Linked DNA regions of Tribolium castaneum. The protein of the gene in region 7 purifies or fractionates together with the protein of the main gene of each other region. This does not show direct contact. Links are inferred from orthologs where the notes say so. Each region holds a gene or a part of one and is shown on either strand. Other genes may lie near its edges.

The links.
Region 1: the proteins of Mms19 (region 7) and Dna2 purify together in Homo sapiens (affinity purification with mass spectrometry; 3 studies listed by BioGRID and IntAct, counting the BioPlex papers as one, with this or other methods). This does not show direct contact. The link is inferred for Tribolium castaneum from reciprocal best matches to the Homo sapiens genes MMS19 and DNA2.
Region 2: the proteins of Mms19 (region 7) and PolD1 purify together in Homo sapiens (affinity purification with western blotting; 3 studies listed by BioGRID and IntAct, with this or other methods). This does not show direct contact. The link is inferred for Tribolium castaneum from reciprocal best matches to the Homo sapiens genes MMS19 and POLD1.
Region 3: the proteins of Mms19 (region 7) and galla-2 purify together in Homo sapiens (affinity purification with western blotting; 11 studies listed by BioGRID and IntAct, counting the BioPlex papers as one, with this or other methods). This does not show direct contact. The link is inferred for Tribolium castaneum from reciprocal best matches to the Homo sapiens genes MMS19 and CIAO2B.
Region 4: the proteins of Mms19 (region 7) and threonylcarbamoyladenosine tRNA methylthiotransferase purify together in Homo sapiens (affinity purification with mass spectrometry; 4 studies listed by BioGRID and IntAct, counting the BioPlex papers as one, with this or other methods). This does not show direct contact. The link is inferred for Tribolium castaneum from reciprocal best matches to the Homo sapiens genes MMS19 and CDKAL1.
Region 5: the proteins of Mms19 (region 7) and Prim1 purify together in Homo sapiens (affinity purification with western blotting; 3 studies listed by BioGRID and IntAct, with this or other methods). This does not show direct contact. The link is inferred for Tribolium castaneum from reciprocal best matches to the Homo sapiens genes MMS19 and PRIM1.
Region 6: the proteins of Mms19 (region 7) and Prim2 purify together in Homo sapiens (affinity purification with western blotting; 5 studies listed by BioGRID and IntAct, with this or other methods). This does not show direct contact. The link is inferred for Tribolium castaneum from reciprocal best matches to the Homo sapiens genes MMS19 and PRIM2.

What each region holds. Positions count from the first base shown.
Region 1 is NC_087394.1:25,789,546-25,792,716, forward strand, and holds part of Dna2 (DNA replication ATP-dependent helicase/nuclease DNA2), read left to right. Parts: intron 1-17; coding exon 18-714; intron 715-2,169; coding exon 2,170-2,355; intron 2,356-2,407; coding exon 2,408-2,638; intron 2,639-2,685; coding exon 2,686-2,984; intron 2,985-3,171. UniProt on the Homo sapiens protein: Key enzyme involved in DNA replication and DNA repair in nucleus and mitochondrion.
Region 2 is NC_087397.1:21,404,755-21,408,254, reverse strand, and holds part of PolD1 (DNA polymerase delta catalytic subunit), read left to right. Parts: intron 1-716; coding exon 717-978; intron 979-1,032; coding exon 1,033-1,266; intron 1,267-1,399; coding exon 1,400-1,572; intron 1,573-2,635; coding exon 2,636-2,885; intron 2,886-2,937; coding exon 2,938-3,067; intron 3,068-3,186; coding exon 3,187-3,500. UniProt on the Homo sapiens protein: As the catalytic component of the trimeric (Pol-delta3 complex) and tetrameric DNA polymerase delta complexes (Pol-delta4 complex), plays a crucial role in high fidelity genome replication, including in lagging strand synthesis, and repair.
Region 3 is NC_087394.1:1,667,320-1,670,819, reverse strand, and holds the end of galla-2 (MIP18 family protein galla-2), read left to right. Parts: intron 1-2,635; coding exon 2,636-2,831; intron 2,832-2,881; coding exon 2,882-3,237; 3' UTR 3,238-3,285; downstream 3,286-3,500. Other genes in the region: transmembrane protein 234 homolog, read left to right, coding at 3,380-3,395, 3,463-3,500.
Region 4 is NC_087394.1:32,857,710-32,861,866, reverse strand, and holds threonylcarbamoyladenosine tRNA methylthiotransferase, read right to left. Parts: upstream 2,801-4,157; 5' UTR 2,677-2,800; coding exon 2,660-2,676; intron 2,604-2,659; coding exon 2,474-2,603; intron 2,425-2,473; coding exon 2,201-2,424; intron 2,150-2,200; coding exon 1,728-2,149; intron 1,340-1,727; coding exon 495-1,339; 3' UTR 444-494; downstream 1-443. Other genes in the region: l(3)04053 (endosome-associated-trafficking regulator 1), read right to left, coding at 1-124; 2-oxoglutarate and iron-dependent oxygenase domain-containing protein 3, read left to right, coding at 2,921-2,929, 2,979-3,061, 3,114-3,705, 3,753-4,025. UniProt on the Homo sapiens protein: Catalyzes the methylthiolation of N6-threonylcarbamoyladenosine (t(6)A), leading to the formation of 2-methylthio-N6-threonylcarbamoyladenosine (ms(2)t(6)A) at position 37 in tRNAs that read codons beginning with adenine.
Region 5 is NC_087395.1:25,582,804-25,586,790, reverse strand, and holds Prim1 (DNA primase small subunit), read left to right. Parts: upstream 1-1,463; 5' UTR 1,464-1,610; coding exon 1,611-1,713; intron 1,714-1,757; coding exon 1,758-2,283; intron 2,284-2,337; coding exon 2,338-2,751; intron 2,752-3,160; coding exon 3,161-3,354; intron 3,355-3,408; coding exon 3,409-3,428; 3' UTR 3,429-3,487; downstream 3,488-3,987. Other genes in the region: aldo-keto reductase family 1 member B1, read left to right, coding at 1-85, 134-505, 698-945, 993-1,253, 1,304-1,343; uncharacterized protein LOC659605, read right to left, coding at 3,498-3,987. UniProt on the Homo sapiens protein: Catalytic subunit of the DNA primase complex and component of the DNA polymerase alpha complex (also known as the alpha DNA polymerase-primase complex - primosome/replisome) which play an essential role in the initiation of DNA synthesis.
Region 6 is NC_087395.1:23,554,214-23,558,397, forward strand, and holds Prim2 (DNA primase large subunit), read left to right. Parts: upstream 1-1,384; 5' UTR 1,385-1,617; coding exon 1,618-2,334; intron 2,335-3,041; coding exon 3,042-3,558; intron 3,559-3,611; coding exon 3,612-3,781; 3' UTR 3,782-3,902; downstream 3,903-4,184. Other genes in the region: RRP12-like protein, read right to left, coding at 338-1,108. UniProt on the Homo sapiens protein: Regulatory subunit of the DNA primase complex and component of the DNA polymerase alpha complex (also known as the alpha DNA polymerase-primase complex) which play an essential role in the initiation of DNA synthesis.
Region 7 is NC_087400.1:4,137,469-4,141,414, reverse strand, and holds the start of Mms19 (MMS19 nucleotide excision repair protein homolog), read left to right. Parts: upstream 1-1,146; 5' UTR 1,147-1,215; coding exon 1,216-1,303; intron 1,304-1,348; coding exon 1,349-1,551; intron 1,552-1,598; coding exon 1,599-1,779; intron 1,780-1,822; coding exon 1,823-2,028; intron 2,029-2,077; coding exon 2,078-2,221; intron 2,222-2,271; coding exon 2,272-3,382; intron 3,383-3,427; coding exon 3,428-3,549; intron 3,550-3,603; coding exon 3,604-3,704; intron 3,705-3,753; coding exon 3,754-3,898; intron 3,899-3,943; coding exon 3,944-3,946. Other genes in the region: GCS1 (mannosyl-oligosaccharide glucosidase), read left to right, coding at 1-979. UniProt on the Homo sapiens protein: Key component of the cytosolic iron-sulfur protein assembly (CIA) complex, a multiprotein complex that mediates the incorporation of iron-sulfur cluster into apoproteins specifically involved in DNA metabolism and genomic integrity.

The DNA.
Region 1 (3,171 bases), on a different chromosome or scaffold from region 7:
TTACTAAAAAAATTTAGGAAGTCTATTTTGCAAACGCAAAGCTGTCTTATCCGACCGTTTCCGTGGCTTCGAACCAACAAATCGCGTCATGCTAATCGGCACTTTAGCACACACCCTCCTCCAACAATCTTTGAGAAAAAAATTAACAAAAAGGAAGCAAATTGAGGCGATTTTGAAAAATTTGCTCGCATCCAAAGACACGATAAAAAGATTGTACGAAGCCAACCTAACCGTTGCCGACCTTGAATCAGACTTGGAGGTGTTTGTGCCCAAATTGGTCGCTTTTATCAGCGAACACATAACAACGGGGCAAATCTGCGACATTGAGGATATTGAGGAAAACTTGTGGTGTCCCCAGTTGGGGCTCAAGGGAAAAATCGATGTTACAGTGCGGTCAAATACCGGCGTTATGCCCCTCGAGGTCAAGACAGGTCGAGCGACTGTCTCACTTGAGCACAGAGGACAAGTCGTTTTGTACTTAATGATGATGAATAAGTTCGGGCTTGATGTCTCCTCTGGTCTGTTGCTCTACTTGAAAGAAGGGGTTTTGAAGGAGATTAAGGCCACAGAGCAAGAAAAACGTGATGTTTTGATTTTACGGAACGAATTGGCGTATTTTTTGGCCAGTGACGTAGGGGAATTACCGGAGCCGTTGAATAATATTCGGGTTTGTCAGAAGTGTGCTTTGAGTACCGTTTGCAGCGCCTATTTGAAGTGAGTAACTTTAGTTAAATGTTTTATTAATAATAGAAATAATAAACATAATAAATATCAGTTTGACAGTTCGAATTTGACATATTTAATGTCACTTTGACAAATCATTTTTAAAAGTCCGAAGGTATTTCCCCGAAAATTTTGATAAGTTTGTTATTATTGTATATATTGAAAATAATAAATTGGACCAAAAACAACATCAATCAGTCCACTCGAATTACATAAATCAGTGATTATCTCAAAATCATTTTTAAACTTAATACGGTGTTATTAAAATTATGAGACCAATAAGTGAAACCGGAAAATGTAACTTTTTTAACTTGCTTAAGCGCGTATTCTGTAATGAAATCGTTAAAATTTAAAGGCCGTTAATCGTTGTTGCTATAACAACAGCCAATAAAATTCCTAGATTTGCGATTTTAACCAGTGTTAAATTTCAACAATCCGTTAAAAAAGTTACTGAATTGGGAATTTTTGGACTTTGACATTGACCCTAATAACAAATTGACCATGTTTTTTAACAACATTATGGATAATTTTTACTCAGCGTTTCCAGAAAAACAGATCAAACGTAATAATGGTTCCAAAATTTCTGCTTCTAAGTGGCTTAGTCCAGGATTTAAAAAAATTAGTCTAATATTTTTTTCAAATTGGTTCAGGGACTACTTTAAAAAAATAAAAACAAAAAAATTGGTTTTACACCTTTAGTTTAAAAAATGAATAAAAAATAACAATATAAAAATAAACAGGGGTAGCCATTTGAAATAAGCACAATAAATGGCTCTAAAAAATTGTAAGCACCCTGTAGCAATTCAAATCAATCAAACTTGATAAACTGTTAGAACTTGTTCAATATGTACGTAGTAATAATGTGATCAAAAAGGCACTGTTTCTATTTTTTTATCAATCTTTAAAACAAAAATTGTAAAACCGTTTTTTTTTCTTTATTTTTTTACAGTAATTTTTGAACCGATTTGAAAAGAACATCAGGGTCTTGTAAGAAGCTAAAAAAGTATCCTAATGAGCACAAAAAGATAATGTCATGCCATTAAAAATATATCATTTTGTCGTCATACTTTTTTGGGACTCTCTGTATAATTAACAATATTTTCCTGAATTGTCTCCTAGAGTATAAACAGCATCTAGAAAATATAAAACACCAACTTCTTCCTAAAGATTTTAAATGTCTTTTCTTAATAGTTCTACTGATGAAATAAAGACCTATTTGATTAAAAAAAATCTACAGTATTGAGAAATCTCTGAACAGTAACTTTAGTGATATTTAATGGGAATTTAATTAATTTATGTTTATAAATTCTTTATGATTTATTTTTATTATTTAAGTTTAAGTTTGTATTCATAAATATTATTAAAATATACTTAGTTTGACATGTGCATTTATAGCATGAATGAAGAATTATTATCATTATTATTAATGTTATTTTTTTTGTTCAGGTTTGAAGATCACGATTTAACAGAAAATAAAGCGATGCAAGAAGTACAAAAGAAATCAATTGGTCATTTGAGTCAAGCACACTTAGATTATTTTCTTAAATGGAGTAATTTGTTGAGCATGGAAGCACAACATAGTAAAACAACAAAGTCGCTACAACAAATTTACACTTTACCACCGGCTAAAAGGTTCGCGTTTGTTGTAGTTTGAGTGGTTTTTACGTTTTTGTCTATTTTTTAGAGAAGCTTTAGGTCGATCGATTGTCAACATGAGAGTGACTTTTGTCGAAAATGAAACCAACGGTTTATTTAAACATACAATGGAAAAGGAAAATCCCAGTTTGGCCAACCTTACGGCTTACGATATCATTGAAAATAATTACATAGTCGTCAGCACTGATTCCCGGCCTGCTGTTGCGTCAGGATTCGTAACAGAAGTCTCCCCAACTCAAATCAGTATTACACTTGATAGGTATAATAAACCACGCCCCCTTGTGTCCTTGTCATTTTTAATTGTAGAGATCTCAATGTAAAATATCGCAATCAATTGTTTCATCTCGACACCTACGATTCAAATATCACTTTCACTTTTAATATGACAAGTTTAGTGTTGCTTATTGAGAATTCGGAAAGGGCTGCTCAGTTAAGGAGTGTTATAATTGATAAAGCTCCGCCCACTTTTGCACCAAAACTGCCGTCAGTTGTTGCGAAAAAGGGGGCCCCGATTTTACGACGTCTAAATCATGTGCAACAGAAGGCTGTGCTTAAAGCATTGTGCGCAAATCAGTTTTTGCTGATCAAGGGGATGCCAGGCACTGGTGAGTGAAAAAATCTAACTTGGAAACTACAAAACATACACAAGTGTCCCAGTGAGTTATGGATCTTTATATAATTGAAAGATAAATATTTTTTCCAGAAGCTGGAGATACTAACCCCCAGCCTCACCTAAAATTATTTTCAATCATACAGGGTGCTTGAGAAATGCGCTACTATGAACTTATGTTT
Region 2 (3,500 bases), on a different chromosome or scaffold from region 7:
AAATAAAAAATAAGAATAAGGTAATAAAAACTCTTAAAATAACAAAAGTAAAAAAAGTTAATATGGTAGCGCTCAGCTCCATTTGCGTGTGCGTCATCTGACATTTCTGTCACTACGTGTACATAGCAGGGGCATAGCGGTGACAAACTATCAAATATTTTTTGAGGTTACGAAGTGTTTAAATTATGAGTTGTTACAAAAAATACAGATTCACAAAACAAGAACTAATAAACGCAGAATCAAAAACTAACGAAACGCAAATTACAAAACACAATAAACGAACAGAAAATACTTGCGATTAACACCGATAACACTTTCGACAACCATGCGACGACGTCTATAATTTACTGTCAATGTCACTTTGACAAATTCGTGACACTTGACGGTGTTGTCGAAGTGCACATGTAAATTAATGTTCAAGGATACCACCCTTAGATAGCCCTTAGTTGTTTAAATTTGCATTGTTTTTGATATTTTTTTATAGCTTCGTGTTGGTAATGAAAAAATGAAATTGATGATGCACACGCAAATCGAGCTGACCGCCACTATACCAATTTACGGTCTAATAGCACCTAACGCAATATCCCTGCACACAAATTTTCAAATGAACATTCTTTAGGACATCTAATTTTGATAGTAATTGTTGCCAATTTAGTTTCAAAGGCAATGTGTAGTTAACTTCTATTTTCAATATAATAAGTAAATAAATGTTCCAGTTTAAGTGACGAGCAAGTTACAACCACTCCAGCAAATTGTATGTTTGTGAAGTCATCGGTTAGACCCGGTTTGTTACCACACATCTTGCAACATCTTCTTGCAGCGCGTAAAAAAACCAAAGCTGAGTTAAAGGAAGCAACAGATCCTGTTGTAAGAGCCGTTTTGGACGGTCGGCAATTGGCTTACAAAATTTCAGCTAACTCGGTTTATGGTTTTACGGGAGCTCAAGTCGGAAAATTGCCTTGTTTGGAAATTTCAAGTGTAATTTGTTTCACGTTTTTGTTAATTATTGTTTTTATTGTTGTGTTACTTTAGAGTGTAACTGCTTATGGTCGAACAATGATTGAACAGACGAAACAAGAAGTTGAACAACATTATCGCATTGAAAATGGTTACGAATCCGATGCGATGGTTATTTATGGGGACACTGACTCGGTTATGGTTAACTTCCGAGTGAAGTCTTTAGAAAGAAGTATGGAGCTGGGGAGGGAAGCAGCTGATTTGATAAGTGCCAAGTTTATAAAGCCCATCAAGTTAGAATTTGAAAAGGTGAAAATTATGTTAATTTTTATCAGAGTGGTCGTGACTTTGAAGTTAAGTTGGCAGTCTTGTTATTTTAAAGTCACAGCTAACTTTAATCAAGTTTTTCTTTATCTTTTTGTTTATGTTTGTTTGGTTTAAGGTTTATTGGCCATACTTATTGATTAATAAAAAGCGTTATGCTGGATTGTATTTTACAAAACCGGATAAATACGACAAAATGGATTGCAAAGGTATTGAAACCGTACGAAGGGATAATTGTACATTGGTTGTTGATGTAATTAATTCGTGTCTGCGAAAACTTCTGATTGATAAGTAAGTTTTTTATATTTTATTTTATTTTTAACGTAGCCTACTAGATAGTAGATTATGTTATTAGGAGCAAAAGTGATACTTTATCTGGCGAAGCCGAAGGTTTACTGTTTTTTTTTAAATAATGTTTTTAAACATTAATTTTTTGTAAAAGTAGAACATATTACACATGTTTGTGCCTTTGAAGACTAAGACATCGACTTTTGATTTCTTTTTTAATATTTTAAAAATACGTATTCGAATTAAAAGTAATTTTTACAGCATAATCTTTTACCAAAAAAATCGTCGTAGTAGGGTGCCATTTGAAAAAAAAAAAAAGAAAAAAAATATCACAAACGATAGGGTTTCTAACACGCTTCAATTTGATGCTTTGATAATCTCCCAAATTTTCATGATGTAAGCGTAAAATGCAAAAAACTACATTGAAATATTTTTTTTTCAAACCATTGCAATAATTTTTTTATAATAACATTTCTTATACTTTTTAAGTGAGAATTCCGAAACTGAAACAGTTTGTTCGCAAAATCCGAAGAGATGATTAATTAAAAATTGTTAATTTTTGAGTTATTAATTTTTTTTAATCAATGTTGCAAACTAAATTTAAAGTAAAGACTGCTTTAATTAGATGTTTCATTGAACACTTTTGATGGCAATTCTAAATAACGTTCTTAATATTGAATGATTTGAGAAAGAAAATATGAAAGCAAATATTTTTTTATATGAAGTATACTTTGCTATTTAAATTACTCCTAAGTAGAAACAACCAACAATTTTCTAAGTCAAATACAATGTGTTCAAAAATGGCTGTTCATCACGTCGCCTATGAAATTTGAACGTAGTATGCCGTGTAGTTTAAATTAAGAACTTTGCCGAAAAATGCAAAAAAAGTGAGTGAAAAGTTAATTCAAAAATTTCAGTACTCAGAAAGTACAATTAGTATTATTTTTTGTATTTGGACGAAGCGACACATTGAATTTAAATGCCATAGTCGACTTGATGGACAACAATTTTTGAACACATTCTATTTGTTAATGTGGCCCACTTTCATGTTTTTCAAATTTTTCAGAGATCCAGATGGTGCTGTTAATTACGCCAAAAAAGTTATTTCGGATTTGCTCCAAAACAATGTAGATATTTCTCAATTGGTGATTACGAAAGAACTTACAAAAAATGATTACGCTGCCAAACAGGCACATGTTGAATTATCGAAAAAAATGACTAAACGAGATCCTGGAAATGCTCCTAAATTGGGAGATCGCATACCTTATGTTATAATTGCAGGAACGAAGAATTCCAAAGCTTTTGAAAAAGCAGAGGTGATTAATTCACTTAAATTGTTTTTAGGTTATTGAACGTGTTTTATTACAGGATCCTATCTACGTTTTGGAGAACAACATTCCAATTGATTCGCAGTATTACTTGCAAAATCAATTGTCTAAACCTTTGATTCGCATTTTTCAACCGATTTTGGGAGACAGTGCTGAGTCAATTTTGCTACGTATGTCTAATTATCTACAGTTTACAACGTTTACGCTCACTCGTTTTGGCAAACATAATGCTTGTTAAACAAAATCTTTTCATAACTGATCACGTAAATAACTATTTGTGGTGTTCTAGGGGGTGAACACACACGGACTAAAACAATGGTCACTTCTCGAGTGGGTGCTTTATCAGCATTTACTAAAAAGAAAGAGACTTGTCTGGGGTGTCGTTCGGTTTTACCAGCTGGTTATGAAGCAGAAGCTGTTTGTAGTCACTGTAAACCAAAGGAGGCAACGTTGTATCAACAGGAATTGGGACATCACAGAATGTTAGAAAATCGTTTTTCGGAACTTTTTACCGAGTGCCAGAGATGCCAGGGATCTTTGCATGAGGAGATTTTGTGCACAAGTCGTGACTGTCCAATTTTTTATATACGGAAGAAGGTTCAA
Region 3 (3,500 bases), on a different chromosome or scaffold from region 7:
ATTCGTTACCAAATTTATAAATGCGTTGGTGGCGCCGCCTGGTGACGTACGCGACCCCCTTAAGAAAATCGTTCGCTAATCGCAGACGTCACGTATTAATTATTAACAAATTGCTCAATAAACCGGCTCGATCTGAATTATTTTACGACAATTTTATTGCCACTTTTTCAATTATCTGCGTTTATCAATCATGTTGGATGCCATCAGACCCATAAAATCAGCGCTACTGGCACCAAAAAACCCCTAAAATCTTATTTATGATATTCGGATGGGGTCAGAGGGTATCGATAGGGGGTTTCGGTTGGCGCCTCTGTGACCAAAAAAAGACACACGACTTAGATGCGGACGATTGATTGATTGCTTCGATTTTATAATCTAGATAACAGGCATCTGAGAGACGTCAAGAACCCTGATTTAGGTATAACAGCATTCTTATGACACAATCTGACGCCGGCGCCTGAATATTTCTACACACTTTTATTTTTATTTACATATTGATATATTAATTGCCCGATGCTGGGGACGGCTATAAACAACACATGAAAAAAAACACTATTTAGAGAGCTTGCGGAATGTTGTTGACACGTTGGGTTTTATTATACAAGACCTGAAACTCTTTTTTCACAACGCAAAATAAATGAGATAATTTGCTGCAACTATTGACCTGGAAATAATTGAAAAATTATTATTTTTTTACTAACTTCGGACTACGGAGGACTATAAGTTAGGATACAAACTTGCAACATTTTCTGAACACAAAACAAATCGGCAAGACTGTATTTCTTTTGTCAACGGTTTAGGCCCCAAAAACATTCAAAAATTTGAATTTTTGAAAAATTTTAAATTTATACCTAAATTATAGAAGATGGAAATGTGGTGTCACAGACTTTTTTGTAGGAAATTTAATTCTCTACAACTTTGTTCCTTACACTTTTTTTGTATCTCTAACCGTATTCCCAGCGTTTTGATAAATATGCGACGGTGCGCAAAAAGTTATCACTTAGAATTATCAATTTGCGTTCCATCTTACATTTTTGCGAACGCTGTAATTACGGCTGAAGATACAAAAAAATTGTGAGAATCAAAGTTGTAGAGAATTAAATTTTCTACAAAAAAGTCCGCGACACCATATTTCTATCTTCAACGGTTTGGGTATAAAATCACTTGACCACTGGAAAAATGAAGCAAATCCGTCGCTTGAGCGTCTTTGAATGACTTTGGGGCCTAAACGGTTGAAGATAAAAATATGGTCTCGCGGACTTTTTTGTAGGAAATTTAATTCTCTACAACTTTCTTCCTAACATTTTTCTTGCATCTGTAACCGTATTCGCAGCGTTTTGGAAAATATGAGACAGTGTGCAAGTTAGTAAAAGTTTGAATTTTTTTTAAATATAGTTTACGATAATGTTTTTGCATTATGTTTATGTCTTACTATTGGGAATTTAATGCCTTAATATTGGGAATTTAATGCTCTATCTGTCTGTATTTTTTTTTGTATGCTATATGTTAACCGTTATGCAAATACAACCATTAAAAAAAACTTAGACGGTATTGGAACAACTGTGCTCTCTGGCGACATTAAACGAAACTACCGAGAACGGGAGCATTTTATTTGTACGTCGTTTCATATCCTAACCTTTAGATATAATTTTTTTTATTTTGATCTCAGTGAGCTAAAAAAAACATGTCCTTTGAGTTTGAACTGTCTTCTTTGATGTGGTGAAAGTCCCACTTTTTTAGGATTAAGCCTTTATGTCATATTAAAAAAAAACTTGTTTATCTCAAAAACACAATTGAGCAAAAACAATTTATTGTTAAAGGTTACACCCAAATATACAAAAAATATATAGTTAATAATTTTAATTAATAATTATTAATAATTTTAGGTGAGTCAGAGGGGGTTAATATCTACAGTTTTTTGTAAAAAAACAGATAATTTTCTAACATTTAAAGGTCAATAATAATGGACTTTATCAAATCGCTGGGACACCCTGTATCTCTTTTATATTATTTTATTATAACTTTTCAGTTTACAAAAAATTCAAAAATAAATTCAATAGAATCGTTAATTAGTCAAAATTTAAAATTAAATTTTACACACTTGACTATATATACACTGATAAGGACTTTTTTTAATTAATAATTATTTTTTATTAATTTTTTTGTTAATGAATAAAATCCTAGCAGTTTTATGAGTTTTTGGACACTAACTGTGAATTCAGAATTTGCCTTTTTGGCCAGAAAATTTTTTTTTCATTCTTACTTTTGTCTGTAAGTGAAAAATTACCAAAAAATTAGGGGAGACACTTTTCTAATGTTCAGTCAGGCTTGTAACATGCAAAGAATTTTTATCTAATCTAATTTTTTAGAGCGCGATTTAATTTTCCCAGTTTTCCTATGGGTGTGACTTTTTTCAGATTTTTTGCAATTCCTTTAATTAAAATTAAAAATATTATAATTTTAAATTAATGAAATTAAAACTTTAGGCAACTCCTGAAACACCGGCGTACAACTGGTTGCCTATACTAGATGCAAATATTGTCGGAGAACAATAAAATTTAGATTTTAAACTATTAATGCAATATTTATCCACTATTTTGAAACTTTATTAACTAAAATAAGTGTTTTATTTTAGTTAATTCCTATTTTTATTGCACTTTTTGAGTTAGTTCAGTTTGACATTTGGGGAGTCCACATTTTTCTTAAAATGCGCCTCGAACAGCTCGAAAACCAAAACCCCAACGTTTATAACAAAACCACTGATCGTTTAATCACAGCTGAAGAAGAAAACGACGATGTTGTTGACGAATTTGACTCCAGAGAAATTTTTGGTGACACTAACATTAACCTCACAAATTCATTCCTAACTTGTAGATTTCAGATCTGATTAGAAATATCACTGATCCAGAACATCCCCTAACTCTAGAGCAATTGCACGTCGTCCAGGAAAGTCTGATTCAAGTTGACAATGCAAATAATTCGATTTTTGTAAATTTTACACCAACTATACCACATTGTAGTATGGCCACACTAATAGGACTTTCAATTCGTGTGAAATTACTTAGGTGTTTACCGGCAAGGTTTAAAGTGAGGGTTGAGGTCACTAAAGGGACTCATAATGCGGAAAATTCGGTAAATAAACAACTAGCTGATAAGGAAAGGGTTGCGGCGGCTTTGGAAAACCCACACTTGATCCAGGTCATCAACCAGTGCATTTCCAACAGAAAACGCGGTTAATTTATTGTAAAAAAATGTAAAGTGTTGTAAATAAAGAAATAAAAAATTGGGGTTTTTATTTCATGGTTGGTACCGTCCTGTCACTGTCACAATTTTTTAGGTTAAATTATTAGTCATTACAAGTTTCTTTTATGTATTTGTAATGATTTACGAAGCAGGTAAGCATTGCCTGATTGTTGGTACCACTGATTTTTCCCAAGTTTGCACCCCTGTTTTTGTCTACAGGGTGTCTCATATGCGTGGCCATACTTTGGGGCGGGACT
Region 4 (4,157 bases), on a different chromosome or scaffold from region 7:
CGTCGCCCAAGTCCAGAAGGACAGGTTGAACGGACTCCTCGGAATCAGACTCCTCACTAAATGGGGCTGTGTGAGACTTTCCACGACTGTTTTCCGGCAATTCATTCGCATCAGCCATTATCATACACGCTCAAAATAAATAAACGTCAACTTTTGTGATGCTGTCAAGTGTCAGTTTTGTCAACTGCGAGCGCGCCTACTAATTCGAATTAGAAATTGATAAAATTTTCAAAAATACAAGTTTATTTCAACCTCTAGTCGTTAGTCAGGGTTCTGTTGTTGTGTCATACGCCCTAACAGATCATTACCATTTTCTGAAACCGATGATTTGTATATTGACAACTAAAGGTTGGTACTGCTTAGAGAATTCTTCCCGAAAAAAATACTGGACTATGAATTAGTACTGCCAACGTAACACTTGCGCAAAGGTGAATCCAAAAAAATTCTTTTGAAATCAAATAATTTATATTTGTTTAATAATAAAATTTAACAACTTAAAGTATCATCCACAAGAATCTGAAAATAATAGACACTCCTAACACAACTAGGGTGATTAGCACCCTCACATCGTCCGTTTTCTTCAACTTGACTCCCGAAACTTCGCCGTGTTGTAATGGCTTGGCAATTCCAGGCATGACCTGGCTTAGGGGTTCCCCCGTCATTGAGAATTTCGTCGCACTCACAATTTTCACAGTGACCAGCTTCCCCATGTACTTCTCATCTTTCGGCACCAAAACTTGCTCGTAAAATTTGTTATGCCCCACGTAATGTTTCTTATCGTGGGACACTTCCGTTACTAGCACCTCCTGTACTTCCCCTACTTTCTTATCATACGGCTGATACGAATAAAACAAATCGGTCAACCGCTTAGTTCTGCCTTTCACTTCTTGCGCTGGTATTCTCGGAAGCAGAGCCGCCGGTGTGCCAGGCCTTGGGAAGAACTGGTTGATAAATAAACTAGGGAACTTGTATTTTTCGCATAGGGATAAAGTGTCTTCAAAATCTTTTTCCGTTTCTGTGGGAAATCCACAGATTATGTCGGTGGCAATCGTCATGCCTGGGATTTGCGATTGGAGGAAATCAACAACGTGTTCAAAATCTTTTCGGAAGTATTCGCGTTTCATGTCGGAGAGGACTTGGTCGCTTCCGGATTGGACTGGAACGTGGAGAAAACTGTACACACGGGGGTGGTTCATTATTTTTGCAACTTCTGATAAGTGTTCGAGGATGTAAGGGGGGTTGGTCATCCCTAATCTCAAGCGACAGCCTTCAGGAATTACTTCGACAAGCTTCCAAAGCAGCTCCGGGAGCGAAGTCCCGATGTCCCTTCCATATGTGCCTAAAATAAGCCAGAATTAAATTTCAGGCCAAAGTGCGACGACAGTTTTTTTTGAAGGACTTGTCTTCACTCTGCTCGTCACATTGCAAACATTTACGATTCTTTAATAGATAAACTCAGTTGTTAGAACAACTCTAGCTAGAACCTAACAAGAACTGGGTAAAATATGTACTCTAATTTTTATTGTAACAATTATTTTAACGATATTTTGCAAAATATTTGCAATTCTATTTGAAAAACCTGCAAAAACGCAAAAACAAAAATATCATTTTTGTCCCAATGCAGTGATTATTAAGTTTGTTACTTCTGCAATGAAAAATATTTGGGGAAAAACATATATTCGGGTTTTAAACGTTGCCATAGCTCACTATGATGCAAAATTAAATACCTGTATCTTCCGACGTGAGCCATATCTCAACAACACCCTCTTCAAAAGCTTGTTTCGCCCTTTCCACGATCTCTTCAGGTGGATAACTTCCTAATTCCCCCCTGGCATGTTTAGTTTTACAGTAAGTACACTGATTTAAACACCCTGTATTGATAGCAATAATTTCAATCAAGGGATTTCGCCTAACTTTAGGCAACAGCAAAGAAGCACCCCCAATTTTTTTCCCTTGTTCTTTTTTTGTACCCAACAATTTGACCGTATTTCCCTTCAAAGTCTCCTCAACAACTTCCACAACTCTGTCAATTTGCTGCACCCCTATAATGCTAAGACCTTGAATGAAGGAGGCTTTAGGGGCGCCCTGCGGGACACAACCGGCCACAACAATGTACTTTCCTAGTTCTTTGGCCTCTTGAATTTGATTTCTGTAAAAATTATTGAAAGATTTTATCAATAATGTGGTAAAAAAAAATTACCTAAAGTGATCCTCAGCTGGGTTTTTGACTGTACAACTATTGAGTAACCAAAGGTCGGCCTCTTTTTTGTTTTCGGTCAATTTGTAACCGTAAGCAGTCAACTGACCAGCCATGTACTCAGTGTCTGAGCTGTTGTGGGCACAGCCCCACGTTTTAATGTAAATTTTTTGAGTCCCTGGAATATTTTCACCGCTGACTGGCTCCACATTTTCAATCTTTTTGTCCTACAAACAAATGCATAATTTTTGCCGAACTTTAAGACACAAATTTTACCCTCTTTTTAGCTTTGACTTTAACGTTTTTACGCGAACTGTATCGTTCTTTCGGTGTTATGTCTTGAGCGGATACAAGGTCCTCAATGTCGTCGATTATTTCGGCACATGGGGCCGAAGGATTTAAATCGCTGTTTATCAAATAAAAATACAATTTAGTTGAAACATAATAGGCCTAAAAAAATACCTGTTTTCTGCTATCATTGTGTAATTACGTGGCACTTGAAAGTAATTTTATGCTTTTTGCATTCAAACCCTTTGTTCTTTTCGATTTGTTGTAAAAAAACTGTTGCAAACTGACACGAGTTCTCGAATATTAGGTTATATTTGCCCGAGTTTTAGGTTATGAAATGTGTCAAAAAAATGGAGATGTCAAAATAAGGGATGTTTTTTTAATTACTCGTTAATTTTACAATTTGATGTAATTTCCACCAGGAATTGGATGTAAATGACAAACGTGTGATCTACCAATACACTTTTGGACACAAATTATTAGAATTTTTTAGGTTATGACCGGAATAACAAAGGCACAAAAACGCAAGAACGGTGAAAAGAAAAATAACGATGTGAAAGAAACACCAACACCTTAGTACGATTTTTATTATTCCACGTTAAGCGTTCTGATCTTTTGTACATTTTAGCCGTTATGGCCCCATGCCAAAGTTCCCAAATCAGCGCATTTGGAGCCGAGGTATTGTCATATTAGGAGTTCTCTTATACGTTTGGTACACGTCAAAGGATGGCAAAGAAGTGTCGTTGGCGAAGCAAAAGGATATTTTACCCATGAGGGGGCAAACGGTGGACTGTGACACCAAATATTTGGATGAAATTAAACAATTCCCCACTTGTGTTCCAATTAAATGCGGGAGGTTTGTCTCCGATAAACTTGTCACAATTAACGAAGCAGAAACTCTGCTAAATGTGGCCAAGAAAGGAATCAGTCTAGGGGGCTCCTCTGGAGGCGCTTCAATCTTGGACATCCACTCAGGTGCCCTTTCGTTTGGGGAGAAATTTGTAAATATTTACACCCTGAAAGGGTCAGAAAAGTTCATCACAGCGTCGGATTTAGCAATTTATAAAATTGTCAAAAATAAGATCAAACATGCAATTGCTGAAAATTTCGGTATAGACAGTGAAAGTCTGTACTTGACGCATCCAACTTTTTTTTCGAAATTGTCCAACTTGGAGTCAAAGACGCCCCACGATGAGTATTGGCACATTCATGTGGACAAGGTGCCTATTTTAATTTATCAAAGTTAGTTTTCAAATATTTTTTTCAGGAAACTTATGAGTCATTTCATTACACATCGTTGTTGTATCTCACGGATTTTTCTAACGATTTTAAAGGAGGACGTTTCGTGTTTGTAGACGATGCCGAGAAACCGATGAAAAATGTTACAGTAGAGCCCAGGAAAGGAAGAGTCTTGATGTTCACCTCAGGTGCTGAGAATCCCCATTTTGTCGAACGAGTGACTTCTGGTGTTAGGTACGCAATTACCGTTTCGTTCACTTGTGACAAAACAAAGTCAATCAGTGATCCAGCAGCACATTAGCTAGTCAGTAAGTAATTAGAGTACTTAAACATTCCTCAGTATAAGTAATGGTTCGAATAATCGAGGCCGCACTGTAGTTACTGTAGATAACTGTTATTTGCCCTGTATTTATTCTAAAATACAGTATTGTTT
Region 5 (3,987 bases), on a different chromosome or scaffold from region 7:
ATTTTATACAAAAATGGGCTCGCAACTGTATTTGAAGCTCCCAAGTGGGCAAAAACTGCCGGCTTTGGGCCTAGGGACTTGGGAGGTGGGTTATTGGCATCAAATTTTTTTTATTTCATTTTTTATCAATCAGGCGATAAGCGATGAAGAAATCGAAACTGCGGTCAACAACGCCCTAGATTTAGACTATCGGCACATTGACACAGCTTGGGTTTATGAAAATGAGGCGGCGATTGGGAAAGTGTTGAAAAAACGCTTTGCTTCCGGCTTGAAAAGACAGGACGTTTTTATTACGACTAAACTTCCGATGACGGGGGTTCACCCAGACAGGGTTGACATGTTTATAAAAAAGTCATTGACGAATTTGCAATTGGATTACGTCGATTTGTACTTGATTCATTTCCCCGTTGGTTGTACTTATTACGAGGGGGAAGCACGGCCCAGATTTAACGATAAAGGGGAGATTGAGACTGAGGGAAAGACCGACCACGTCGCCCTGTGGAAGGTTTGAAAAAAAATAACTTAACACAAAAAACGCTTTATCAATTACCGAATTACCACCGTTTTACCAGAATAAAATAGTGGGCTATTTGATGCGCTCACTCGCTATTGCTCGTTCGTGCTTTAAACAGTATTAATTATGAACGAATTAACACAACTTGTAGCTATTTTTTGCCCATTGTTGTAAATTTTGTAGAAAATGGAAGAGCAGGTTGATGCCGGAAGGGCCAAAAATATCGGTTTATCAAACTACAACATTTCTCAAATTGAAACCGTGCTAAAAAACGCAAAAATTAAACCCGCCGCACTTCAAGTCGAACTCCACGTCTATTTGCAACAACGCGAACTTGTAGAATTTTGTCAAAAAAACGGAATTGCTGTTATTGCCTACTCTCCTTTGGGGAATCCCGGCATGAACAAGTTTTTGCAAAAAATGGGCCAACAGTACGATTTTTGCGCCCTTTTTTTCATTTCTAGACACTTTTTTGCAGACCCAGACAGTTGGCAAATATTTTGGAAGATGCAAAAATTAGTGAGATTGCAAAAAAACACAAAAAAACACCAGCTCAAGTGGCGTTACGTTTCTTGATTCAGAGGGGCATTGCGGTTATTCCTAAAAGTGTAACGCCGAAACGAATCGATGAAAATCGAAAATTGTTCGATTTTGTGTTGAGTGACGATGAGATGAAAACTTTGTATGGTTTAAATGTGGGGGAGGCGGCCAGAGTTTGCGATTTTAAGGTCTTTGGAGGGTAAAGAATAATCACAGAGTCAGTTTTTAGCCTTACTTTGGTTATTTTAGACTTGATAAACACCCCGATTTCCCGTTCGCACAAAAATGAGCTTTTTTAATTGAAACATTACAATGTGACCGGATGTTGGTTGCATAACCCATGATATAAAATGATTATGTTGTATTTTACCCTTTACTTAATAAATAATCAAATAAATAGCAAATTCATGTTTTTACACACTGATGATATCGATCATTATGCAACGAAATTTAAATAAAAAAATAAATGACGTAATGTTGGTTGCATAAGCTCGCAACCAATTGCGACACAACCTCACTTTTTTTGGCGGGAAAAGTTGTCACTGTGTTTTGCGTGATGAGTGCCTCTTTGTACAATGAAGACAGCCTCCCTGACCTGCTCCCCATCTACTACAAGCGTCTGTTCCCCCATACAGCGCTCCACAAATGGCTTTGCTACGGTAAGTTGCCTCCAAGCTCGATTTTGGTCAAGTGAGCCCCTCAGGTGACCCCAACGTGTCCAACCGGCGCGAAATTTCGTTCACTCTAGTCGGAGACATTTACCTCCGTTACCAGAGTTTCGAAAATGCGGAGGACTTTGCCCAAGCGCTCCATAAACGCTTCCCGGTTAAAATCGATATTGGGGCTATTTACAAGCAGCGACTTGAGTCGTCTGGAAGTTACTCTAGCTCCAAAACACCAGTCGAGCGAGAGATTGTGTTTGATATCGATATGACTGATTATGATGATGTTCGGACTTGTTGTACGGGAGCTGGGGTGTGCCCCAAATGCTGGAAGTTTATGGTGATTGCGTGCAAGATTTTGGATGGGGCTTTACGGGAGGACTTCGGTTTTGAGAACATTTTATGGGTGTTTTCGGGTCGGAGAGGCATCCATTGTTGGGTGGCTGATAAAAAGGCCCGGATCTTGGATGATAATCAACGGTCGGCTATTGCTGAATATTTGACTTTGTTGCGAGGGGGCCTTGTGGTACGAAAAGTCAAGTTTTTCAACATGCATGCGGCCACTGAGTAATTATCTCCTCATTTTTGCTCCCAAGTTGTGTAATAATTGGTTAATTCAAGGAGGGCCTTAAAAGTCATTGATGAATATTTCGAAAAGTCGATTCTTGTCGAACAGGACATTTTAGGGACTTATGAGCGCTTGGACGCTTTTTTGGGCAACATTGACGAGGGTTTTAGTCCTTTGTTTCGAGACGCAATGACCAAAGTTCAGACTTCGGTCGAGCGCTGGAAGGCTTTTGTTAACACTTTTCAGACGTTACAAAGAGAGCAAAAAATACCAAAACACTACAGATACATGGTTGAGGAGATGAAATTTTACTATGCGTATCCGCGACTTGATATCAACGTCACCAAAAGCTTAAATCACTTGCTGAAAGCGCCGTTTTGCATTCACCCGAAAAGTGGCAAAGTTTCGGTGCCTTTTAAGCCCAAATTCATCGAGCATTTTGACCCAGATGCCGTACCCACAGTCAGGTAATTAACTGCCCGACACTGAAAATGTACCACTTTGAATACTATACAAGTGTTGCTGTTATACTTCTGCCCGAAACTGTGTCTTATTTTTTCACATTTTTTGCCCGATTTTTTACGGAAATATACAGGGTCTCTTTTTTGAGGCTGGCGAATATTTGTTTAAGTAATTTTGATTATAAAAGAATACATACATAGAAAAAAAAAATGGTTTCTGAGTGATTATTAGTGTTTGAGGTACAGTAAAAATGCACTAACTCTGTATAAAAAGTGGCACATTTTTTCCGGTGTGCAGTTTAGTATTCACAGAGCATTTTGCTTTCTTAACAAACACCGAGAAAAATGGTTTCTGAGTGATTATAAGAAGTGGCACATTTTGTGTGGCGTGCAGTTTATTCAGGAAGCATTTTAGCCAACTCTTGGACGAGATAAACACCTACGATGCCAAAACCAAAGCTCAGGAGAAAGATTTAGCGGAAAATTCCCAAACCAGTGTTAAAATAAAAGACTACAAGAAGACAAGTTTACTCAAATATGTTACAATTTTTTGCGAGTTTTTAAGAGGCTTGCAGGCTTCAGCTGCCCGAAACAGGGCCATAAAAAATGGTGATTTTTATTGCCTTGATGTAACGAACACAAATTAATTGTTTGAATTTCCAGGAACTGTAATGGAATATTAATTAGTTTACGTTTTTTATTACTCATTGTTACTGATTACGAAATAAATGAACATTTATAATTTTATCGTTTTATTTACCCTTACACACACAATATTTTTTCAAAAACGAATCACTAACACACCTAACAATGGCAAAATCTAGCCTTTTAATTTCACCATCGAGCTCAAAAACCTTATCAACATACGTAACAAACGCCTCAAAAACTGAATAGGGGTACGTTTGGACACTTATTAGTAATTTCTTGTAACCCGAACTCCAGGAAGCACTGGAACTTAACACTTTCCTCAACTCGTAACTCCGACACATTCGCTGATCAACAAACTCATTTACTTTATTCACAATAAAAAGTGAGGCGTTCCTCACAACTAAATCGTCAAGATTCGTCAAAACGAACCCATCACAGGGACAAGACCTATTCTCAATTTCCGAATCCAGACACGACTTTTCCGTAACATCCATAAAAAGCGACTCACACCTCGGACAACTCTGACTAGGTTTCGGGTCCTGATTCACCTGAGTCAGCACCATAATGTCTTGCAAAGTCATGTACAGATCAAAC
Region 6 (4,184 bases), on a different chromosome or scaffold from region 7:
TTTACGATTGGATAACTTTTTTCCTAAGCATGATTTTTTTTATTTATCGACAATTCTTTATATAATTAAAATTAATAAATTATTATGGAGAGGATGAAAAAAATTAACGATGCTCGAATGTTGAAAAAGTCCCGTTAAAGTTTGTCGACCATTTTCAAGTAAATGGCAACTTAATTCAATTAAACGTGCTGCCATTTAATTGCCAAAAATATTTTTTATTTTAATTAACTAATTAAGTAATTAAAATAAAAAAAAATCTGTGAGATTAATTTTTGAAACGTAGTAGAAATATATTTTTGGACCCCAGTCCACTTAATCCACCTCAGGTGTGCCTCACTTTTGGTTTCGTATGAAGACAAAAGGGGTTCAACATCGAGGTAAAAATCTTAACCGTTGCTTCGTTAGTCCAAACAATCAATTCCTGTTTCCTCAGAAGCGTCCCCAAAATCCCAAAAATCGACTTAACGATCGTATTATTATCAGAATCGACGTAATCATTAAGAATGTGCAAAACTTTCGCCGATAAATCGCTAAAAGTCCGGCGTAAAACCGGCTCTGGCACCGTCTTGATCCCCATATTCAGCAAAGCCAACGCCGCCGTCAACTGCTCCTCACTGCGCTCCTCCCCCTCATACACACGTTCAAGTGCAGTTATCAGCGAACAATAATATTCAGTGGCCGTCTCAGAGCCCCCGTTTTCCCTAATCACCTCGCTAATCGCCGCAAGCATCGCCAGCATCTCCTTATGCAGGGCGGAATCGGCCCGGAAGACTTTCAAAAAGCGGGTGAACGACATGTTGCTGTAACTCGACCATTCGGACGCAAACGATTCCATGGTTTTGTACGAGGAGTAGGTGCCAACTGACGACTCCACATCCTCGTCCACGCCCATGGGCTCTGGGTCCGGCCGCGGCTTGAAGGCCTGAACTGCATCGTGTTTGCGCAAAGCCTCAGACGTTAAACCGCTCGAGCCCAGATTTTCTTGAAAGAAACGCGATTTGGCCAAATCACGGTACTTGTGCGTCTCGGGGTTCGAGCTCGAGCTCTGGCCCTTCGGCCACCGCTTGCCCTTGGCCTGGCCCTTCAGCTTGGACCGGAACTTCCCCATTTTTGCTAAAGGAAAACAGATCAAAAAAACATAACCTCACTTAACGACACGTGCCGTTTTTTATCGACTGGTGCAAATCTACGCATTGTATTGACAAAAAGCAGAAAAAACTTACGTTTTTCCACTTATTAACAGCAATTGGTTTTAGATAATGTTGATATTTACACAAAAAAAAACTTATTTAAACTTGATAGTTGACATTTAACTTTGCCACACGTGGTGGGTTTCACTTTCACCAACCGTGAAATAAAAAAATTACAAGAAAGTTCAAATTAAATTAATTTGGCCCAATATTTCGACTCATTATTCCTTTTTGATTGTTTCAAATGCCACACGGGGTGGAACGCCACACCTGGAAAATATCTGAGCGTTGGTTTTGCCCCCAAAAACCGGGCAGTGATTTTAGCTAGTCCCCAGATATTGGTGCCAGTTTTTGGCGGGATACCATTTAAATGTGAGGTTAAGTGAGTTAAGTTTTAACTAAACACTGTAAATTGTGAATTTTCGCCATGGATTTCACGTCGTATCGCCGCACGGTGCGAAAAGCCACCGCCGAGGAGCCCCTCTCCGAGCTGTACCCCCACGACGTGAGCATGTACCGCGAAAGCCCCAAAAGCGAGATTTCCATCCTGGAATTCGAGCAAATCGCCCTGGACCGGCTCAAATTGCTGCGAATTATCGAGCAAGCGGCCCCCAAAGGCAACCGGTTGTACAGCGACCAGTGGAAGACGTGCATTAAGGACGACTTGGCCAAGGCAGGGTTGAAAAAATACGTGCGCTTGATGGGGGGCACCAGTGGCACGAGCGACTTGGATTACCAAGCCCGCAAGGCCGATTACCTCTCACACTTTATCCTCCGGCTGGCGTATTGCCGCTCGGAGCAATTGCGACGGTGGTTTTTGAGCAGGGAACTCGAGTGGTTTTGGATTCGTTTCACGGCTCAGTCGCGCGAGGGGGTCAAGAATTTTTTACGAATTTATAAATTCTCATATACTCCTATTTCGGAGGAGGAGAAGGTTTCGCTAAGGCATGAACTGGAGGCGTCAACTGCGGGGTTGATTCTGTTCGAGGAGACTGAATTTTTTAAAGTGCCTTTTACTGAAGTTTGCTCGTTGGTGAGGGGCCGGAAAGTGTTTCTTAAGGCTGGGTTTGCCTATATTCCGTCCAGCGAGCTGGTGGTCTGCATCCAGTCGAAGTTCAGGGCTGAATTAAGCGAAGAGCTAACTGTAAGTCTAGTTATATAAAAACATATATAACGAAATAAGCCCAATTTTAGTCATTTTCAGAGAAATTATAAACGTATCTTAAAAATATTCTGCTATAAATGCTATAAGAATTTTGTTATAAGTACCGAAAATTTATTATTAACTGAAACCTATTTTTTCTACAATAACAATAAAACATCAAACGGAATTTTTTTTTTAAAACGTTTAACATTTGCACTCTGACAGGTTTGAAATCCAGCAGTTTAATTTAAAAATACTGTGATGTATGGTTTGAGATCGACTGCATATTTTATTTATTTTTATGGACTTACTATTTCGTTTTAAAACTGAGCACCCCAATAAAAACGTGGTCAAGAGTGCTTTGTAAATTTCAGCAACAATTGGTAGTTACCTATGAAATTTTCACAGCACGCGTGACTACGATTTTTATTTCGACACACGCCACCTTGACCGTTTAACAATTTGTGATTTTGATGTTTAAACATTTAATTCCTGCTATTTTAGAAAAAAATCATATTTAGACAAGTGTTATAAAGCTTGTGGAACCAAAATTAATAACCAAATTTTTTCTTATATTCTATTTTACGTAAGATGATTTTTTTATATTTTATTGTAAAACGAAATGGGCGCTTATGTTCTCAACTATTGAAGGCACTCGCTCGCTACGCTCGTCGTGCTCTAAAATAACTCCAATTCGAAACTTTCAGTGGTACAGCCACCGCATCCACCTTTTCGACGACGAGCGTATTGGGCCCCTTTTGTCCAATTTCCACAATTTGCACACGGGCCAAAATTACCGAGTCCGTGAAAACCACGAAAGTGTCGATCCAGCAGATCTGGACACATATGCTAAAAAACACTTCCCTCTCTGCATGAAACACATGCATGAGGTTTTGCGGTCTGAACACCACCATAAACACCAAGGCCGTCTAACTTACGGTCTTTTCTTGAAAGCTATCGGGCTTTTGTACGAAGATGCGCTCAAATTTTGGAGGGATGAGTTCACGAAAAAAATGGATTTGAATCAGTTTGAGAAGGGTTACGTTTACAATATCAAACACATGTATGGGTTGGTGGGGAAAAGGGCCAGTTATTCGCCCTACAGTTGTGTTAAAATTATTACGAGTAGTGTGGGGCCTGGGGAGCACCATGGCTGTCCGTTTAAGCACTGGGATGTTAATCTTGTTAAGCAGAAAGTTATCGAATGTGGTGTGAGCGTTGATGGTAAGTTGGCTTACTTTTTTATTTAAATGAAGTACTTTTTGTACCTATTACAGGTGCTAATGAAATCAAGCAGCTTGTTTCTGATGGTCATTATCAACTAGCTTGTGGAAAATATTTCGAATACACTCACGGAAAAGCGCTGGGAAATGGAATTAATCACCCTAATCAGTATTTTGAAGAGAGCATGAATATTGAAAAAGGAGCTTCAGGCAATAAGAAATAATATCTGTTACTACAATTAAACGTTATTTTTTAATAATTTATTTTATATTTACCCTTCAGTCTAAATTGCATCCGTTTTTTTAATTTGGTTTTAATAAAGTCCCAAAGACTTTAATTGTTGATACATGCTTTCACGTTGTATTTTATAGTTAAATAAATATTTTGGAGAATAATAATTGTGTTTCGTGACTTCAATGGCCCAAAAATTCCATTCAAATAAATTTTATTAACACATCGTACACAAAAGATTACATTCGTAATAAAGTGTCAAAAACATATTGTAATCTAGAGTTTAAGCTATCTCTACTAAAATAACTTTGGTAAATAAAACTGAGTCATTCAATTGTTTGACCTAACAACTGTACGTTTCTTTGGCTAATACTTGAAGCCCGTGCTGAAACTCT
Region 7 (3,946 bases):
TTTGCGTAAATATTACGATAAGTTGAGCGAGGGACGTTTGGCAACACTGGAACGGTTGTATCCAAGGTTACAGGCGTGGTTTGCATGGTTTAATACCACGCAAAAAGGGGCGGGGCCTGGCATGTACCGGTGGAGGGGGCGTGACGCAACAACCAATCGTGAGCTGAATCCGAAAACTTTAACTTCGGGCCTTGACGATTATCCACGAGCGTCACATCCGACCGAAGCCGAATACCACGTCGATCTATACTGTTGGATCGCCATAGCTAGTGATACTTTAGCAAGGTTGGCAACACTGTTGGACCGTGATGGGTATAAATACGAACAAACTGCCGATTATTTGAAAGACAATTTCCTATTGGATAATTTACATTGGTCTAATTACGCATCGCGTTACGCCGATTATGGTTACCACACTGATTCTGTTAAATTAAAACGACCGAAACCGTTACCAAGGTCACAAAACCAAAACATGGAGATGGTGCGTGTGACCTTGAAAAATCCCGAATACCGATTGGTCGACTCGACTTTCGGTTACGTCAGTTTGTTTCCGTTTTTGTTACAAATGATTGATTCGGATTCGTTGAAATTGGGCCAGATTTTGGATGACCTTCGAAATCCTGACTTGTTATGGACGAAGTTTGGTCTAAGATCACTGTCCAAAAATTCACCCCTGTATATGAAACGCAACACCGAACATGATCCGCCATATTGGAGGGGCCAAATTTGGATAAATATCAATTTTCTAGCAGTCCGGTCCTTGTATTTCTACGCCAATACGGAGGGGCCCTATCGGGATAAAGCCAACGCGATTTATAAAGATTTGCGGGAAAATGTGATTAAAAACGTGATGACGCAATATTTCAAAACGGGTTATCTGTGGGAACAGTATAATGACGAAACGGGGGAGGGGAGTGGCTGTAGGCCTTTTACGGGCTGGACGGCCCTGGTTGTATTACTTATGGGCGAGCAATACTGAGTCAATAAAAATCTAAGTACGGTCCTGTGTTTTATTTAAAAATTAAAAATAAAACCCGCGCTATACGGAAGTTTAAGGGTCGGTTTACAGAAGCGTCATTAACTTAATCTGCAATTAAATGCGTCATTAATTTAATCTGCAATTAAATGCGTAATTTTTTGAAATTTGAAAATGAAGGTTATAGTAGGTTATTTGGGGCATGCGTGGTCAATTATCATCTGTCAAAAAGTTTGGTTATGATGGCTTCGAATTTGGCCAAAAATTTCGAAAATGTTACAATAGATGACCAAGAATTTGCCGAAAAATGCCACGAATTGGCCCAAGGTACGTACAAGTGGCCCCACATTGTGACATAACCTCAACTTTCAGCACTTGAATCGGGTCAAGTGACCTTGTTACGCCTTGTCGAGGACCTAGGGGGGCTCCTTATCGATACGAGCCCCAAGGGGCGCGAGCTGGGCATGTGGGTGTTGACACGTGTCGTCGAGACTTTGCCCCCCGATGTTTTGGACGAAAATCAATTAAAATTTTTAAATCAGTTTTACACGGACCGGCTTAAGGACAATCATTTTGTATGTCAGTCCAGGGGCTACTGTTTTTTAACTGAGGGCGATTTTAGGTGTTACCGGCCGTTTTGCGCGGTTTTCTCGCCTTAATTCGGTGCGAGGGGGCCCCGAAAGGGGGCCCTGGCCCTTTTCTCGTCCAACTCTTCCACAATGTCTCGTGCCAACAACAACAAGAAAACGACAGATTAGCAATTTATCAAATTTTCGAGACTTGTTTGGAGAAATTTTGGCCAGGTTTGGGCCCCCTTTTAAAATTCAATATCAGTCTTTTTTCCAGAATTGGATGAAATGGGGCCCGACTTTGTCTACGGTGTTATTTCGGCGGTTGATGGCGAACGCAGCCCCAAAAACCTGATTTTTCTCTTTGATTGGTTTCCGAAATTTTTACGAAAAGTCAAATTGGGGCACCTGGCTGAGGACGCTTTCGAAATCCTGGCGTGTTATTTCCCTGTTGATTTTAGGGCTCCGCCACAGGACGAAAACGTGCCCACTTTGTCCCCATTAAACGACAATCAATAATAATTTTTTACAGGGCATAACTCGAAATACCCTCGCTGAAAAGCTCGCCTTTTGCCTCGTTGCCGTTCCACAATTTGCCGAATTCTCCCTTCAATTAGCGTTAGAAAAATTCGATTCTTCGCTTGAAATTGCTAAATTGGATTCGTTACGACTTATTGTAAGTGGTTTTTTTTGTAGCGGACCGCAGACTAAACACCAAACTTGTAGGAACTATCATTTGTTACTTTTGATATTTCACCAACCACAGTATGGCCACTCATACAAAAAGAACTGTTCCAAACGACAAATCCAGCAATTGAAAAAGCCTGTTTAACAACAATGACAGCTGTTATTAAGCACACACGTGACCCAAATTTGACAGAAACGGTCAAAGATATCTGCGATACAATCAAAGGAAATTTTTTACCCGACTCAAAATTATTCCAACCGTCGGCACGTTTGATAATCAGTGTTGCCAACGCATCGGACAGCGTTGCCAACCTCGTAGCGCGTGAAACCGTCCCCATATTAACAAACATGTATAATATAGCCAACACAACGGCTGAAAAAACACCATTTTTGCGCCTACTAACCGACTTGTATGCACTTGCCAGCGATTTAGAAAATCTCGGGGAAGTACCGGTTTTACTTGTAAAATCTGACTCACCAATCGCTTTTGATTGTTTACGTGACATTTCGCCGAAACTACCCGAAAAAATCCGACTTTTACTTTACCAAAACTACGTCAAGTTGTTACAAGTGCCACAAGAAGGCGCTGTCTTACAATGTCTTGAAGCTTTAGCACGGGATTACCCGAACGAAGTGGCTACGCACGTGGTCGGTAATACAGAAAACTATACTCCATGTTTTCTAGACGCCTTGTGTGTGACTTTGGCAAATCAAAAATTTTTCACGGCCCATTTAATCGATTTAATTTTGAAAAATTGTGCAATAAAAACATTACAAAAAGTTTTAATCAAATTTGACGATTGTGACGCGATTTTTGACGTTTTAAACGCACAAAATATCACCCATGTGTTGATCGAGATGGCTTTGACTGGTGATACGTGTCACGAAACGATTGCATTTGTTTTGAAAATTGTGATTGGTCGAATGTCGAGCGAAAAACAAAATGAAATGATTCGAAACGAATTAAGTCGAATTAAGATTGAGGATATTTTTTTACTAAGCGGGATCTTGACTTGTTTAAGGCGCGATGTTGTAATTAATTACGAAATTTTAAGCGAATTAATTGAATTTATAATTAGGGAGAGGGATAATTTGAGACGTAACGCAGCTATAGAACTGGTTGCAAATATTTTGAACAAATGTCCCAATGGTAATTTAATTCCGTGTTTTAATTAATTATTACAATTAATTGTAGATGATGTAATTAGGGAATTTTTGGAACGGGTTGACACTAAAACCGACCCCATTCTTACGTCATGGCTCACCAAGGCCTTAATTATGCGTAATCACGAATTAGGCACATTCTGGACCACAAAAGTAGGCAATTAATTGCGTTAGCTCAGTCGTTAATTAATTAATTTTCCGCCTTAGTTAATCGATTATTTGGATAAAGATGAAAGTATAGCTCCGTGTTTTCGCACAATTATGTCCAATTCGGAGTCTTTAAGTACCAAAAGTCATTGCAATGTTGCGTAAGTTGATAATTTAGCACTTAAATAATTTTAATTAAATAACTTGTAGATTTTTGTACCAGCAGAAGTTTTTTACGATAGTTACGAATAAATTAAGTGCGAATTACAGTCCAGACAAGAATTCGTATTTATCAGGCCTTGGATATTTACTAGAGTTCGCACCAAAACCGGCCGTTTTAGTCCAATTTAGAAAAGTAATAATTTCAAATTGAATTTAACCAATTAATTTAATTTTGTAGATT